2 linked regions of the Sus scrofa genome follow. The protein of the gene in region 2 binds, or shares a complex with, the protein of the main gene of each other region. Links are inferred from orthologs where the notes say so. Each region holds a gene or a part of one and is shown on either strand. Other genes may lie near its edges.

Region 1 (7,778 bases), on a different chromosome or scaffold from region 2:
CAGCTGCCCAGAATGCCCAGAACAAAACCCAGAGTCCTTGGACGACAGTCTCGTCAGGTCTGCAGATGAAAGGCCTTGCCGGAAAAGAAATTATCTGATTTCCCCATATGGCGACTTTGTCCTCAGCAACTCCACTGACTTATTTAACAGGTAGCTCAAAACCCAGCAGAAACTGGAGGAGGCTGCATCACTGTAGGGATGGTTTCATTTCAGTAACTGGAGCAAGGTACTCTGCTTGCACCCTGGCTCATCCTCACGAAAAGCCTCTAAAGACCGAAGGCAAAAACAAATCCAGCAGACAAGGCCAGCAAAGAGAAGATACCCAATTCAGTAGGGATCGAGTCTCTGTACCAGGATAAAGAAACTGGCCATTCCCATCACCTCTGAGGAACTAAGATTAGAATTAAAGGGCAGTGTAGAAAAGAGAAAAAGGAAAACTTCCTACCTCAAACTTCCTACCTCCTTTTGAGTCAGACTCCTATTGGGTGGGATCATGATTTGGCCTGAAGCATTAATTTTCAAATAGTATACAGCCACAATCAAATGTAAGAGTGGGACAAAACATTTTACCCCATAGCAAATACAGGTGACTTTTTTTTTTTTTCCTCCTGGCTGCACCTGCAGTACATGAAAGTTCCAGGGCCTGGGATCAAGCCCGTGCCACAGCAGTGACCCAAGCCACAGCACTGACAACGCCAGATCCTTAACCTGCTGTGCCACCAGAGAACTCCTGAAATCCAGGTGGCCTAGATCATCCACACCATTACTCATTCCCTTACTATGGCTAATGGGGAGGTTCTCAACATCTTCCAGAATTACTGAGGCCCTCAGGAAATGCTTGCCTCAAGGGCTAGACTTACCAACTCTCACCTGCCCTGTAACTTGACCACTTAGGGCTCAACTCTGCCCTTAAATAGTTCTGTGACCTTGGCCAGGTCACCAAACCCCGTTGGGACTCGACTTTCTTGTGTTCCCATTCAATGAGGGGACAGGATTAAATACTAAGGTCCCTTACAGCTCTACCCCTTTATGATCCTATATATATACTTATATACACTTGATAAGGTATAAATGAAATGTTTATAAAGTGCTTAGCACAATACCTGGGTCATGGAAGTACTCAATAAATACTTGCTGAATGAGTGACCTGGAGGGATGCTGAAGTGGAAAGGCTGGTCAGATGTCTATCTGGCTTACAAATAACAGCAAGGACACCCCTGCCAATGTGATAACACTAAATAGGCGTCCATTGCTACATTCTTCATGATCAATAAAAAGAGAAATGAAAACCATTATTAGAATCACAGCACTTAGGAGCCAGAAGTCATTTTATCTTTTTTTTTTTTTTTTTTTTTTGCCTTTTCTAGGGCCGCTCCCGCGGCATATGGAGGTTCCCAGGCTAGGGGTCGAATCAGAGTTGTAGCTGCAGGCCTACAACACAGCCACAACAACGTGGAATCCGAGCCGCATCTGTGACTTACACCACAGCTCACGGCAATGTCGGATCCTTAACCCACTGAGCAAGGCCAGGGATCGAACCGGCAACCTTATGGTTCCTAATTGGATTCCTTAACCACTGCACCATGACGGGAACGCCCAGAAGTCATTTTAGAAAGCTAGTCCAACCAGAAATCAAGCCAAACAATAGTTCCCATTGCGGCTCAGTGGTAATGAACCCAACAAGTATTCAAGAGGTTACAGGTTCTATCCCTGGCTCCACTCAGTGGTTTAAGGATATGCATTACCACAAGCTGTAGTTTAGGTCACACACAGCTCAGATCTGGCGTTGCTGTGGCTGTGGCATAGGCTAGCAGCTGCAGCTCCAAATTAGACCCCTAGCCTGGGAACTTCGATATGCTGCAGATTTGGCCCTAAAAAGAAAAAGAAAGAAAGAGAAAGAAAGAAAGAAAGAAACCAAACATGTAAACTGAAAGCTTGTAGATGCAAAGCTACAGATCAGATTATTGTAAAGGAAGACTGAGGCCAAGCCCCTGCCCCTTATTTTAGGGATTTGTGCACAGGGCACGCAGGGGAGGGTGTACGCCAGGGAAGAGAATACTTAGTCCATGGGGCTATAACTTAACATATGAAGTTTTCATCTCATGAAACTGAGGTAAAGCAGAACTCAAAAAAACAAAACTGTGTGCTGGGGGTCAGGGGGGCGGGAGTGAACAGGACAGGAAATAGAGCCACCCACTACTGATCCCCAGCCCTAGCTCTGAGCATTCTGATCCCTGAGTAGTAGCCACAGGCCATCAGAAGAGACATCTGACATCTGCCACAGATCAGAGGAGATGGAAAGCCACTACACTCAAAGGCTCTAAGTCACCATCTCTCTTCCAAAGGGAAACCGGATATGCGGGACATGTGGGGTGAGAAGGGATTCGAAAGCCACCAGAAGGCAAAGGAAACCGAGAAAAATGTCGACAAATCTCATATGGACAAAGATGCCGTTCTCAGGGTATTTGCAGTCTCAAGTACTGGACGTCAATCATCAGAGAGAGCAGCTTTTATTCATGCGCAGACTTCCCTGCCAGACTAACACGCTCCACTTGACAAGATCCGACCGCAAGATGCAAGCTGCAGTTACAAAAACCAGGAAAAGGTTTTACTTCACATAAAGGCTGGCCTGGTCAAAGGGTGATGGACTGGAAGTAAAATAACTTGGATACCGATTTGGTCTCTACCTTGAACTATCTTAGAGACACTGCACAAGTCAAATCCTATCTCTGGAGCTGAGCTTCCAAATCTGTGAAATGGGTGAGTTGGGTTGGCTGACCTCCTTCAACTCTGCACCGTAAGACTGTCGGAAGGTGCGCTCCGCCCGGTTTGAAGGCAAGGCCGTACAGAGCAGGAACTCGGGCTCACAAGGCCGGAATAGGGCCCGACCCTAGCAAAAGGGACAGGACTGAGCAGCAAAGGCCGTGGCTTCGCTCTTACCTGCCTCCCCAATCAGTCAAATCGAATCCTGCAGCCTCCGCTGCAGCTCACTGCTACCCCCTCCAGCTCCGCGCCACAGCCCGGCCCGGCTCAACCCAACCAACCATGTCCAGCAGCCCACAGCTCCAGCCTGCAGACCCGGACCCGCCGCCTGCCCATTCTCTTCCACAGGCGCAAGCGCAAGCGCAGGAGTTCCGGAACTCCGCCCCCAAGCCCGTCCCGGGGCAACCTGGGAAATGGAGTTTACCCCTCCCCTCAAGAGTGAGTCTGGCGAGCACGTGACAGAAGTCACCAATTGGCGCGTTTCTTACTGCGGGAGTGCACACCTGATGTTGGCCAATGAGCAGTCGACCTCATTTTCCTTCGGACTTCGGACAGAGGCAGTCATGGCACCACCTGTGAGGTATTGCATCCCCGGTAAGTCGGCGGTTCCCAGAGGGAATCCTGGGCAGAGGCAAAGGCAGGAAGGCCGGACGACCAACAGCTTCTGCGGTCCTGTGGCTGATGCAGCGGTTTTTTGGGTTTTTTTTTTTTGCGCAGGCGAACGTCTGTGTAATTTGGAGGAGGGGAGCCCCGGCAGCGGCACCTACACCCGGCACGGCTACATCTTTTCGTCGCTTGCTGGCTGCCTGACGAAGAGCAGCGAGAACGGCGCGGTAAAGGGGCTGGTTTCCTCTCTCCTCGGTTTCTGCCTTTCTCATGCTGCTTTTGATGTCACGATCCTTAGGCAAGGGCCCTGCGGGCGCGATTCGGGATCCTCGTTCAGTAGAAGGAGTTGGTCTCAGAGTCCCCAGTGAGCCACAGAGTCTTTGTACACACGCCGTCTGTCTGGAACGCGCTACTCTCTTCCTTATCCTGTGTTTGTTTATTTTGACGGGGCCGCACCTGGGGCATGTGGAGATTCCTGGGCCAGGGATGGAATCCCCGCCACAGCAGTGACCCCAGCCACTGCAGTGACAAAGTGAGATCCTTAATCCACTCACCCACAAGAAAACTCCTCCCTTAGCCTATTTAATTCCTACCTAACTTTCAGATAGCCCCACTGGTACCACTTTCTCATATAAGCCCTCCTAAACACCACTAATAAAAAGAATTTTGGAAGTTCTCTTGTGGTTCAGTGGCTTAGGATGCTGCTGTGGCTTGGGTGGGTCTGATCTCTGGAATTAACTCATTCTGCAGGAACTCATCTGAAATGATTGGATTATGCCTTCGAGCAGCATTCTGTGGCCCCTTGGCTCTCCTATGTTCTAAAATTTCTTTTTTTAAGTCTTTTTTTATTAAAGTATAGTCAACTGTCAGTATTCGTCAATTTTTGCTGTGCTGCAGTGACCTAGTCATACATACATATACATTTTTTTTCTCATATTTTCTTCTATCATGTTCTATCACAAGTGATTGTGTATAGTTCCCTGTGCTATACAGCAGGACCTCATTGCTTATCCATTCTAAATGTAATAGTTTGCATCTACTAACCCCCAGCTACCAGTCCATCCCACTCCCTCCCTGTCCTAAAATTTCTAAGGCTTTCTGCTCTGGGCTACAAAAGAATCTAGTCCTCCTGTCCTTGTGTCAACTGTGGCCCGAGGCATATGCATATTACTGTCAAGCCACAAATACCTTTACTGAAGGCTTAGGCAGGATACTCATGTTTTATTGTTCTCGCTGTAGCTTCCTGTCATATCTGTGATGAGAGAAACGGATTCCCAATTATTGCCAGATGTGGGAGCTATTGTGACCTGTAAGGTAAGTTCATCCTAAACTCCCTGCTTAAGGTACCATCCAATGCTGAAATCATGATCATTGTAAAATAGCACTGTCCAGTATGGTAACCAGTAGCCATATGTGGCCGTTTAAATAAATTAAAATCTGTCATCACAGAAGGTTTTCCCGGCTTGTGCTAGTCTAGAGATTTCTAGGATAATGATCAATGCGGTCCAGTTCAAGCTTGCATGGTTCTTTTACAGAGCTGGTTCCCTGAGTATGTAGATTTACTTTTGACTGGGAAACAGAGGCACCAAAGGGTGATAAGGAAGCTTTTTTTTTTTTCATGTTCTTTTCTATTATGATTTAGCACAAAATATTAAATATAGTTTCCTGTGCTGTACAGTAGGACCTTCTTGTTTATTCCTTCTGTATATTATAGTTGGCATCTGCTAATCCCAAACTCCCAATCCCTCTCTCCCTCAGTGCCCCCTCACCCTTGGCAACCACAGATCTGTTCTTTATGTCTGTGAGTCTGTTTCTGTTTCATAAATAAGTTCATTTGTGTCATATTTTAGATATCGTAAATAAGTAATATCATGTATTTGTCTTTCTGTTTTTGACTTATTTAGTACGATCATCAAGATCCATCCACATTGCTGTAAATGGATTATTTCATTCTTTTTTGTGGCTGAGTAGTATTCCATTGTATATATGTATCACATCTTCTTTATCTAGTTATCTGTCAGTGGACATTTAGGTTGATTCCATGTCTTGGCTATTGTAAATAACGGCGTAATAAACATTGGGGTCCATGTATCTTTGCAAATTGTAGTTTTCCCAGGTATATGCCCAGGAGTGGGATTGCTGGATTGTGTGGCAATTCTTTTTTTAGTTTTTTGAGGAACCTCCATTCTGTTTTCCATAGTGGTTGCACCAACTTACTTTCCCACCAACAGTATAGGAGGGTTACCTTTTCTCCACACACCCTCCAACATTTGTTATTTGTAGACTTTTTAATGATGGAGGAGGCCTATATTTGAGCATCTGAAGCAAAACTTTTTCGGCAGAGAAACAAAAGATTTTATAAAGTCTTTGAGGGAAAGTACAAATTAATGCTGCACTTATCAGTAGCTATAATACATCAGTATTCCCTACCCATCCCCACTCTCTGCCAGTTAAATTAACTCATAGCTCTTTGTTTCTCTCTATAAATCACTCTAACAGAAATCTATTTTCAAAATCTGTCATGTTGAAAACTGCAGAGGCAGTGATCTAAATAGAATGCAGCAACTGAAACGGAGACTTAAATTCTGTTCACACTACAGGGCTCTTAGTAAGTTTGTTAAAAGTCTAGCTAGATTTGCTATATTTCCTTGTGTAGACTTGTATGTTTTTCTAAATCTGTACCGTATTATTTCATTTGATTCCCACAGTAACTGTTAGGTGTAGAGTGGCTCTTGTTTCATTTTTTGTAATCACTTATCCAGGGATAAATAAATAGCAGTTAATTTGTCTTAACTTCTGTACTTAGGAGTTCCCATCATGGTGGTGCAGAAACATCCAACTAGGAACCATGAGGTTGCGGGTTCCATCCCTGGCCTCACTCAGGGGGTTAAAGATCCGGCATTGCCATGAGCTGTGATGTAGGTTGCAGACACGGCTCAGATCTGACATTGCTGTGGCTATAGTGTAGGCCTGCAGCTTCAGATCAGATTGGACCCCTAGCCTGGGACCCTCCATATGCTGCCACTGTGGCCCTAAAAAGGCAAAAAACAAAACAAAACAAAAAATTCTACACTTAGTAGAGTTGCCTTGGACTAAAATCCTGGTAATTCCTAGTTTATCATGCCTCCTTGAGCTGGCAGCTACTAATACTGGAATGCCTAATGCTGCAATTTTCTCTATTCCAGGTCTCTAGCATCAATTCACGCTTTGCCAAAGTACACATTCTGTATGTGGGGTCCACACCACTTAAGAACTCTTTTCGAGGAACTATCCGGTAAGAAGTATTTTTGTCTTCATATTAGCTGCAGTACTTGGAATGAGATTAAGATAGAATGGGAGACCGGAATTTTTAAGAACAATTAGAATCCTTATTCATGCCTACTTCTCTCGTCTCTGTGCATTGGTTCTCCCCAAGTAGTATCCAGAGAAAATGTTGTATGTGTTAGGACAAAAAGGAAATATTAACGAGATAGTATTTAAATAAAACAAAAAGAGGAGTTCCCGTTGTGGCTCAAGGGTAATGAACCTGACTAATATCCATGAGGATGCAGGTTTGATCCCTGGCCTTGCTCAGTGGGTTAAGGATCCAGCATTACCATGAGCTGTGGTATAGGTCGCAGATTCGCCTCAGATCTGGTGTTGCTGTGGCTGTGGTGTAGGCTGGCAGCTGCAGCTCCAATTCAACCCCCAACCTACGAATTTCCATATGCCATAGGTGTGGCTCTAAAAAGAAAGAAAAACAAAAAATAGAAACATAAAAAAGAGGAGTTTTGCTGTAGCACAGCAGGTTAAGGATCCCAAGTTGTCACTGCTACAGCTTGGGTTTGATCCCTGACCCCAGGAACTTCCACAGGCCAAGGGCTTGGCGAAAAATAAATTAGTTAAAAATATAAAATGAATAGAGCTAAGCTGGGGATTAGCCTTGTGGGGATGATTCCTATCAAAGTAGAAAAAATTTTAGGAAGTACCTTTTTTTCTTCAATTTAATATAGATTAAACCCAAGGATTATAAGACAATAAAAAGGTTAATGAATGCAATGCTATATTTTGTTTTCCTATGAGTTCTTTGAGACGGGACTAACAGTTCCTGGGAGCTAGATAATTTAACATCCAAGGCTCTTTCCACCCTTGGGTTCTGTGTGGTTTTGTGGTGCTTTGGTTCAAGCTCTCCTAAGGCAACAAAGTTCCTTAGCCCTTTCTGCCAAAGTTGATTCGCTTTGCTGTAGCTGCACTATATGGTCCAAGAATGGGAAATGTGGTTTTCTCCGGGTGAGGACTGAGGATACCTCGATCTCCTCCTCTGGGTGGCAGCTGGGTCCCAGTTAGATTTGGTCTCTCTGCTCTTATAGCTAGAAGTTGCAGGATAATTCTTTCTTGCAAGTAATTAATCTTTCTTTTAATTTTTTTTT
Region 2 (7,889 bases):
ACAATGTAAGAGAGCAATTTTTCCTTCCATTTTACAAATGGGAAATAGTAGAGAGATGCTAAATGGCTGGCCCAAGGTCACGGCCAGTAAATAGCATCTGAATTCCAAGCCAGGGCTCTTAACCACAATCCCACACTGCCTCCTGCATTCTAAAGGGTCTCTTGCGGTGTGCAAAGAAGGCAGCACAGGCCTCTCTCAAAGGATGAACTGGCTCACTATACCAGTTGGTCCTGCTGATGGTGATAAGGACTATGAGAGCAAGGAGGCCTCAGGGCCCCGGGGCTTCCGACTATTGCTTTAAATGATCACTCTGTAAAGATCTAGTCACAACCCTCTGTAGTGACAACCCACTGTTCCAGGATAAGGCTGGAGGGGTGTCAGAAAACTGGGCCTCAGCAGCTCTTGCTTTCTTGCCTTCAAATCACTCTCTGCCTCCTCGGGACGGGTTAGGTGACAAGAGATAAAAAGAGCTATAAATTTCCCTTCCCAGGAATGCATAAAGTATAATTTTTTTATAGAAAAAAATCATGAAACAGGAGAAAAGCAAACAAACTAGTTCATGAATCACTGCATATAGGACAACTTTTCTTAATCCACTTTACCTCATAAAAGGCTTAGGAAATTACCCAAACCAGCTTGGCCTGGCTCAGAGCCTGCCCTACCACAATTTGTATTCACATTCAATGCTCAAGAGCAAAGGAATCAATCCATGTGTGAACACTTAAACATAGGCTGCCCTGAAGTGAAAGCTCCATTTAAAGTCAACAGATGCCCACAGGTGACACCAACACCATGGAGCATGGCCCTGTCCACACAGAGGGGACAGAGCAGCTTTCTAGGTAAAGGCCTTCCAGATGCTACCTTGGCTCCTAATGATTTTCAAGTTGTGATCATGGGATCACAACAACCTTGCCTAGTTGGGTGTAGTGTGGAGTCATCTCCAATCTATATTTAAATTTCTGCTGTCCCATGCCAGCCTGGTGACCTCAAGCAGGTTAGTCTGTTAACATCTCTGAGTCTCTTGGTCTAGAAAGTGGAAACAGCCCTGGCCTTAAAGAGTTATAGGAAAGTCCGGAAGCCATAGATCACTCGAGGGGAACCTTCTGCACACAGGAGACCCCACTCAGCAGTTCCTTCTCTTGGTTCTGCTGGCATGTATTAGCTCACTGAATCTTCAAAAACAACCTGGAGAGAGGTTACAGACAGAACTCAAAGCGATAATTTTCAACCTCCTGTGTGTGACAGAATGAAGGGCAGGTGAATCCATCCAGAGCTGCTGTTCCTCAAACTCAGGTAACCCAGTCCTACTCCCTGACAGAAGCTGGCAGTTGGCTTGCTAACCCAACATGCTTGGGAGGATTTAGACTCAAAGCAGTCCCCTGAAGTGATGTTAACCCCCACAACCTTGCTTTTGCTTGACCAAGAGCACAGAGCTTGCTGGAGGAAAACTGTGACCAGAGGCCTCCCCTAAAAGCCACCCTGCTTAGGAAAGAGCCCAGCTCTGCAGGCTCAGGACCAAGACAGAGCAGGCAAAACAAAAGGTCGATCCTTATTCCACTTTCCAAGCCTATTAAGTAGGTCCACATTCCTCTAGGATGGGATCCTGCCCAGCCTGCAGAGCACCTGACTGAAAGACATAATGATCCAGAGAGTGGCCAGCTCTTGGGGGCATAAAACCCAATCCTCTCCTTGGAATGTGCTCTCTCTCTCTCCTTTTTCTTTTTTTTCCCTGCTTTTTAGGGCTGCACTTGAGGCATATTTAAGTTCCCAGGCTAGGGATCGAATCGGAGCTGCAACTGCCAGCCTATGCTACAGCCACAGCAATGCCAGATCTGAGCCTCATCTGTGACCTAAGCCACAGCTTGCAGCAATGCCAGATCCTTGACCCACTGATTGAGGCCAGGGGTCGAACACATATCCTCATGGACACTACAGTCAGGTTCTTAATCTGCTGAGCCACAGCAGGAATTCCTGGATCTGATCTCTGATCTTTTTTTGTGGGGGGGGGAGGGAAGAGTTAAAGAGGAACTGACAGGTTATGGAGGTCTCACAGAAGTAAAGGTGGGGGGATGGCTTGTACCAAGGTGAAGGGCAGCTGGACAGCAAGTGGCTACAGAGAAGGGAGACACTCTAGGAGAAAGAAGTGGAGGTGTTACCAGAGACACAGACAGGCAGTCACACAGTCCATGTGGTCCATGTTAGAGCCCTGGAGAGGCAGTGCCCCTACCTGGCCACAAACCCCCTTTTCTTGATATAATTTAACAATCTCTAGCCCTCCAAATCCAAAGAGCTTAAACTTCAACAGCTACACGCTGAACCCCTCATGGGGTCACCACAAAGGTTGGGGATATAGTATGGGTGGTTCTAGGAAAAGCCACACTTCTGATGAACATATCTTGACAAGGAGCCAACTGCTCTTCAGGGTTGACAACACTCCAAGTACTCCATATTTTCTTATCTCATCGTTCCTCACAACCCTTTCTGCCCCCAGATGGCTAAATTCTCAATTTACACAGGGGGCGCTAACTCAGCTACTCAGGTTAGAATCTCTCTTACTGTGAATGGTGGAGCCCAGGATGGGGCCCTGTTCAGTCGGACCCCAAGTCCTCATTCAAACAGAGGCAGAAGGCCATATGACCTCAGCCAGGAGCAGACGTTTCTGGGCTCCAAGATGGACCAGGCCAGTGGCTTCCCCATGGGCCAATGGCTGGTGGCTGCATTAAAATCCCCTAACGTTTATGAAAATACCTATTTCCAGGCCCCAGCCCCAAAGATTCTGATCCAGAAGGTCCAGTTAAAGCCCAGGAAGCTGTACTTTATGAGTAAAAGGCACTTCAAGGTTTAGGTGTCACTAGGATAGCGTGGACGTTAACAGTATCCTCTTGGACAAAGAGAGCACACATTTAGGTAGTTAAACGAATCCGAAACGATTAAGCCCTAATTCTGGAAATTCTGCAATTTGCCCCCAAATTCCTGAATGTTGTAAACAGAGAAAAAACTAGTTTGATACAAGTTATTAAAACAAAGTTTGTACAAAGAAATGCAAAATAGGGTTCTAAAGAAACCTAGAACCAACCAAGGTAGAAAAATACTATGTAAAAAAACACTATACCAATATATGTCCATATCCTAGTCAAGATCTACAAAAATGGGAGGGAGTTCAGAACTTGCCCTCCCCCTGTTCTGTTTCCCCAACATACTTTCAGAGGACAGAAGAAAGAAAAGTAGAAGTGGGGAGTCTCTTTGGCTTTCCCCTTTGAATTCCTATTTTTAAAAAAGGGCAAGTGGCATGAGAGTCGAGTTAGGCTTTGCAATCAGAAAGATCTGGATTTATATCCCAGCTCTACTGTAAGCATAGAGGGTGGAGGGGGTTGGGGGTTGTCTCTGGAAAAAGAGAGTAAGGCATGGCTTTCTGGACATAAGAGAAGCCATTTTGGCCTAAGTCTTTTTGTAATCTAAGCCTGGCTACAATGCTTGCCCTTGAACAGGTCTCAGTAAATAATGATCTTGAGGGAAAAAAAAGAATGCAGAAACAGGGACTTCCCAATGTGGCTCAGTGTTAATGAACCCGACCAGTATCCATGAGGACGAGGGCTCAGTTCCTAAACTTGTTCAATGGGTTAAGGATCTGGCATTGCAATGAGCTTGCAGTGTAGGTCACAAATTTGGCTTGGATCCAGTGTGGCTATGGCTGTGGCACAGGCTGGCAGCGGCAGCTCTGATTCAACCCCTAGTCTGGGAATTTCCATATGCCCTGAGTGCAGCCCTAAAAACAACAACAACAACAAAATGCAGGACAAAAGAAAAGTAGGAAAGAAACAATAGTTCTGCAGTAAAACAGAGTTCAAGTTCCTCCTCAAGGGATATACATGACAATGTAATATGTACCTTTGAATTGTTCTATAGGAGCTAAAGCCCTCAACCAGATGGAGTACAGTAACTACAGGCTAACACCCCCAAACTGGTCGGAACCTAAGGAACGTTTTCGTTGACCTTTTCTGACCCTCAAGCCTCCTATCAACTAAAGCTTCACCCTATTGATTTTGCCCCAATTCTTGCTGAATTCTCCTCTGCTCAAGCCCCTTCAAATACACATGTGCCCTTAGCTTGTTCCCCAATTTTGCTGTTTGAGACACTGCTTTGGAAAAGATCTCACGGGTGTCCTACTTGCAGCAAGTAATAAATCCTTCCTTCTCTCAATCTTTGTCTAGGTTGTGTCTTTTGGCTCCACACCCACCAAAACGCAAATCCAGTTTTTGGGTAACACCACCACACACTTACTAGGTGACCTTGGACAAGTGACTTAACCTCTCTGACCTCAGTTCTTTATCAGCAGAGATAATACTTACCTTCAGGACTGTTAGAAAGATACGACGAGATAAAAATTATGATAGAATATGTACCTAAAAAATGTGGGACAGCTCAGACCTCGAAGGCTGAGAGGGGATTTAATAGAATCAGGAACTACCCACCACTTCCTACCCTGGTTAGGAACCTTACAGACCCAGAAAGATGCAAGTATGCATATAGGTCTAAATGGATGCTCGCCAACAGGCCCCAAACATGCCCGCGTTGCCAGCTTCAGAATGCACACGCCGGCTGCGAGTGGTTTAATCACAAAGTAAACCCAATCGGCCGCAGTCCTCCCAGGCGAACTGAGAGCGGGAAGCGACCCGCAGAGCCAGGGGAACCCAGCGGGCCGCGCCAATGCAGCTGCTGCCGCTACCTGAACACCATGCACGATGTACACCTTCTCCGCCTCACTTAGAGCCACAGACGCCATGTTGCCGAGCTGCCCCGCCGCCTCACGTCATCAGCCCGCGTCGCCCCGTGACCACGCCCCCGCGCTCACGCGTCATCAGTCTGCGCGGCGGCCGCTCCTGCAGCAGCCGCCGTCGCTACTGCCGGGAGCTCGATGGGCTTCTCCTGCGCGCCGCCCTGTGTCTGGCCGAGTCCAGGGAGCCGCTGCGCCTCGTGCTGGGGAGCCATCGCAGCAGCCCGAGGCCGGGTGCCGGGTCGGAGGCTGCAGGGGGAGGCGGCGGCGGCGGCGGGAGCCTCACCGGGGACCTGGGACTGGGAAACTGCCTCCGGCTTCATGGTCAGTTGGGTGAGGAAACTGGGGTTGAGTGAAAAAGCTGGGGTGAGACGAGAGGAGCGGGCTGGGGCCGGGGCTGGAGGACTCGCAGTGAGAGAGGCGCGCAGCTCAGTTTGCGCAAGGCTGGAGTTGAAGTAGGGCTTGTGAGAGAGAGAGAGATCGACAGACCCTGAATGAGGGAAGGCGGACGTCGTGGTTGGTCTGGGGATTGTCTCTTCGCTCTATCTCCCGCCTCGCTGTCTTGCATTTCCCTAGTCCCTAGGGTGGTGGGGAAGAGGCGATACAGCCCCTATAGGTCGTTCCCGGCCGGAAGGGTCCGGGCCACGAGTAAGTGCTCACTAGTCCCGAGGCGTCCTCACTCACCCTAGGGATTCCTCCTACCCCCACGCCTGCTCTCTGGGGCTGACTACCGAACGCTAGCCCAGAACCTTGCCGAATCCCCTTGCCCTGGGAGGTTGCCGGAGCATTGTCCCAAAGAGAGTAGGTGGGGAGAATCTTGGTAACCGGAGCTGGAGAGGGGCGTAGTGCCCAGTCGTCCCCAGCGCTTCACAGTAGTGGCTGAAAACCCCAGCTTGGTCGTTGAGATCCGTGGACGAAAAATGAGAGCCCCAGTCGTGGCCGAGTAGGAATATGGGCCTTGAATATCTGGAAAGGATACCTGCAAGGTGAATATGGGGTCACTGAAGGAGCCCATTAAGGCGGGGCTAACAGGGCACGAAACATTTTAAAGGAGCCACGTGGATAAATGGGGAAAGTTAACCCAAAACGATGGAAGCAAAAGGTGATCTGATGACTTTTCCAAACGCCCCAATTTTGAGGAACCTACTGTTCTGAAAAGTGAAAGTAACCCTTGATTGCTTGATCTTCCAAAGAACTGTTAGGCATTTTTCAGTAACTTCAATACGGTTGCACAAATAAGTAGTGGGACCTTACTATAGATGGGCTTTGTGCTAGCTTTGGAACACTAGGAAATGAAACACCCCTTCTGCCCAGAGAAGGTCCCTGGGCAGAGGGGGAAGGCTCCAGGGCCAACACAACCACAGAACATGGTGGTTAAGAGCTATGATAGTGGCACCAATGAGCACAGGAAGATAGGGCAGTGGCAGGAGGAGGGTATGGAGAGGAAATACCTGCCCACAATCTTAAGCACTAAACTGCTGAGCCCCACAATAGATGATCACTTCTTAGTAAACTGAACATTAGTTGTTTCTGATGTCTCTACATAGTCATCTGCAGGTGCACCTACAGCGAAGACATCTTGCAGTGTTGGACTTTGCCCTCCAGGGAAACTAGGAGAGTTGAAACCGGAAAGGTTTCCTCCCTAATGAAAGCACAGGTGCCCCACCTGTTGTGTGTGATTAGCTGCCTGGATTCTACATGAGGACTTCCGTGATGTGATAACAAGGGACTGCTGATGTTGGAAAAGGCATTTTGTGCTAGAGATTGCTCAGAAAGGAGAGACCCTGAATGTGGAATTTTACTAGCTAGGATATCTAAGAGTACTGAGGATTTAAAAAGTGTCAGTGAATAGATCAGAAAAGACACAGAAAGGTCTGAGTTTGGATACCATGAAGTCATCTTTACATTAAAAGCTGTCAGTGTGTCTTCAAAAATACAGAACATACATGTGAAGTGTTCCCCTGATAATTGACTAAAGATTCCTTGCTAGCGAAAGGTTGACAGCATTTGCTAAATAATATTATGAACAACATCTGATATGTTAGACCAAGAAGATATAAGAGGTGTAAACAGGAGTTCTCATTGTGGCTCAGTGATAATGAACCCAACTAGGGTCCATGAGAATGCAGGTTCAATCCCTGGCTTCCCTCAGTGGATTCAGGATCCAGCATTGCTGGGAGCTGTGGTGTAGGTCACATACGAGGCTTGGATCCCAATTTGCTATGGCTGTGGCTTAGGCCAACCGCTGCAGCTCTAATTGGACTCCTAGCCTGGGAACTTGCATACGCTGCCTATGCAGCCCTAAAAAAAAAAAAAGTGTGTAAACAATAGAATGTTTATTTTAAATTCTCCACTAAAACAATGACACCTTCACTGATTGTTTTACTTTAATACTGCTAGAACATTTTTATCACATTTGTTGTGATAATGCACTAGACATTTCAAAATCCATAAATTCATAGTTCTTTTTGGATTGTTGAAGCAATTCTAAGATTGTATATTGGCCAGAAAAATCAAAAAGCCAAAGATGACACATTCTTCTATTAGCCAGCTTGTTTTCCCGTTGCCGTCAGATTTTTGGGGGGGTAGGGGGGACATACTGTTTTGAGTTATGTCAGTTCTAAATCTCTGTACCCTTATTAATTTTATCTAACATCAGCTTAAGCAAAATAGTTCTTATTATGTGCCCAGCACTGTTCTAAACTACGAAGATTAATTGATTCAGTCCTATTAACAATAGCCCTGTGAGGCAGGTACTGTTATCCCTGTTGTACATATTGGGAAACTGAGGTATGGAAGGGTTAATTGTCTTATCCAAGGTCACAAGTCACATAACTAGTAAGTGGGAGAGCCAGGATTTGAGGACAACCTAGGTCCCATACCTGCATTCCTAACCACCCACTTATGCAGGTGTCCCCTTTCATTTCCTTGACCAGAGTATTTGGTGAAAGAGGCTTTTGTTTGTTATGGAATTGGCAGTGCCCTGTAAGCTATACTTAGTTTTAATTCCAAAAGCAAGGAGTCCATTCAAGCACAAATGCACGTCCCTTGAATCCTTTTTCTAGAGGAATGTTGAACATGGTGCTGATGGGATACTCGTGTGTCTGTTTCATCC

What was found.
Region 1: EXOSC7 (region 2) and EXOSC1 share a complex: the UniProt entries of both Homo sapiens proteins name them as parts of the RNA exosome core complex. The link is inferred for Sus scrofa from reciprocal best matches to the Homo sapiens genes EXOSC7 and EXOSC1.

What each region holds. Positions count from the first base shown.
Region 1 is NC_010456.5:108,838,309-108,846,086, reverse strand, and holds the start of EXOSC1 (exosome complex component CSL4), read left to right. Parts: upstream 1-3,259; 5' UTR 3,260-3,269; coding exon 3,270-3,357; intron 3,358-3,480; coding exon 3,481-3,596; intron 3,597-4,608; coding exon 4,609-4,683; intron 4,684-6,554; coding exon 6,555-6,643; intron 6,644-7,778. UniProt on the Homo sapiens protein: Non-catalytic component of the RNA exosome complex which has 3'->5' exoribonuclease activity and participates in a multitude of cellular RNA processing and degradation events.
Region 2 is NC_010455.5:28,173,710-28,181,598, reverse strand, and holds the start of EXOSC7 (exosome complex component RRP42), read right to left. Parts: upstream 4,794-7,889; 5' UTR 4,784-4,793; coding exon 4,727-4,783; intron 1-4,726. UniProt on the Homo sapiens protein: Non-catalytic component of the RNA exosome complex which has 3'->5' exoribonuclease activity and participates in a multitude of cellular RNA processing and degradation events.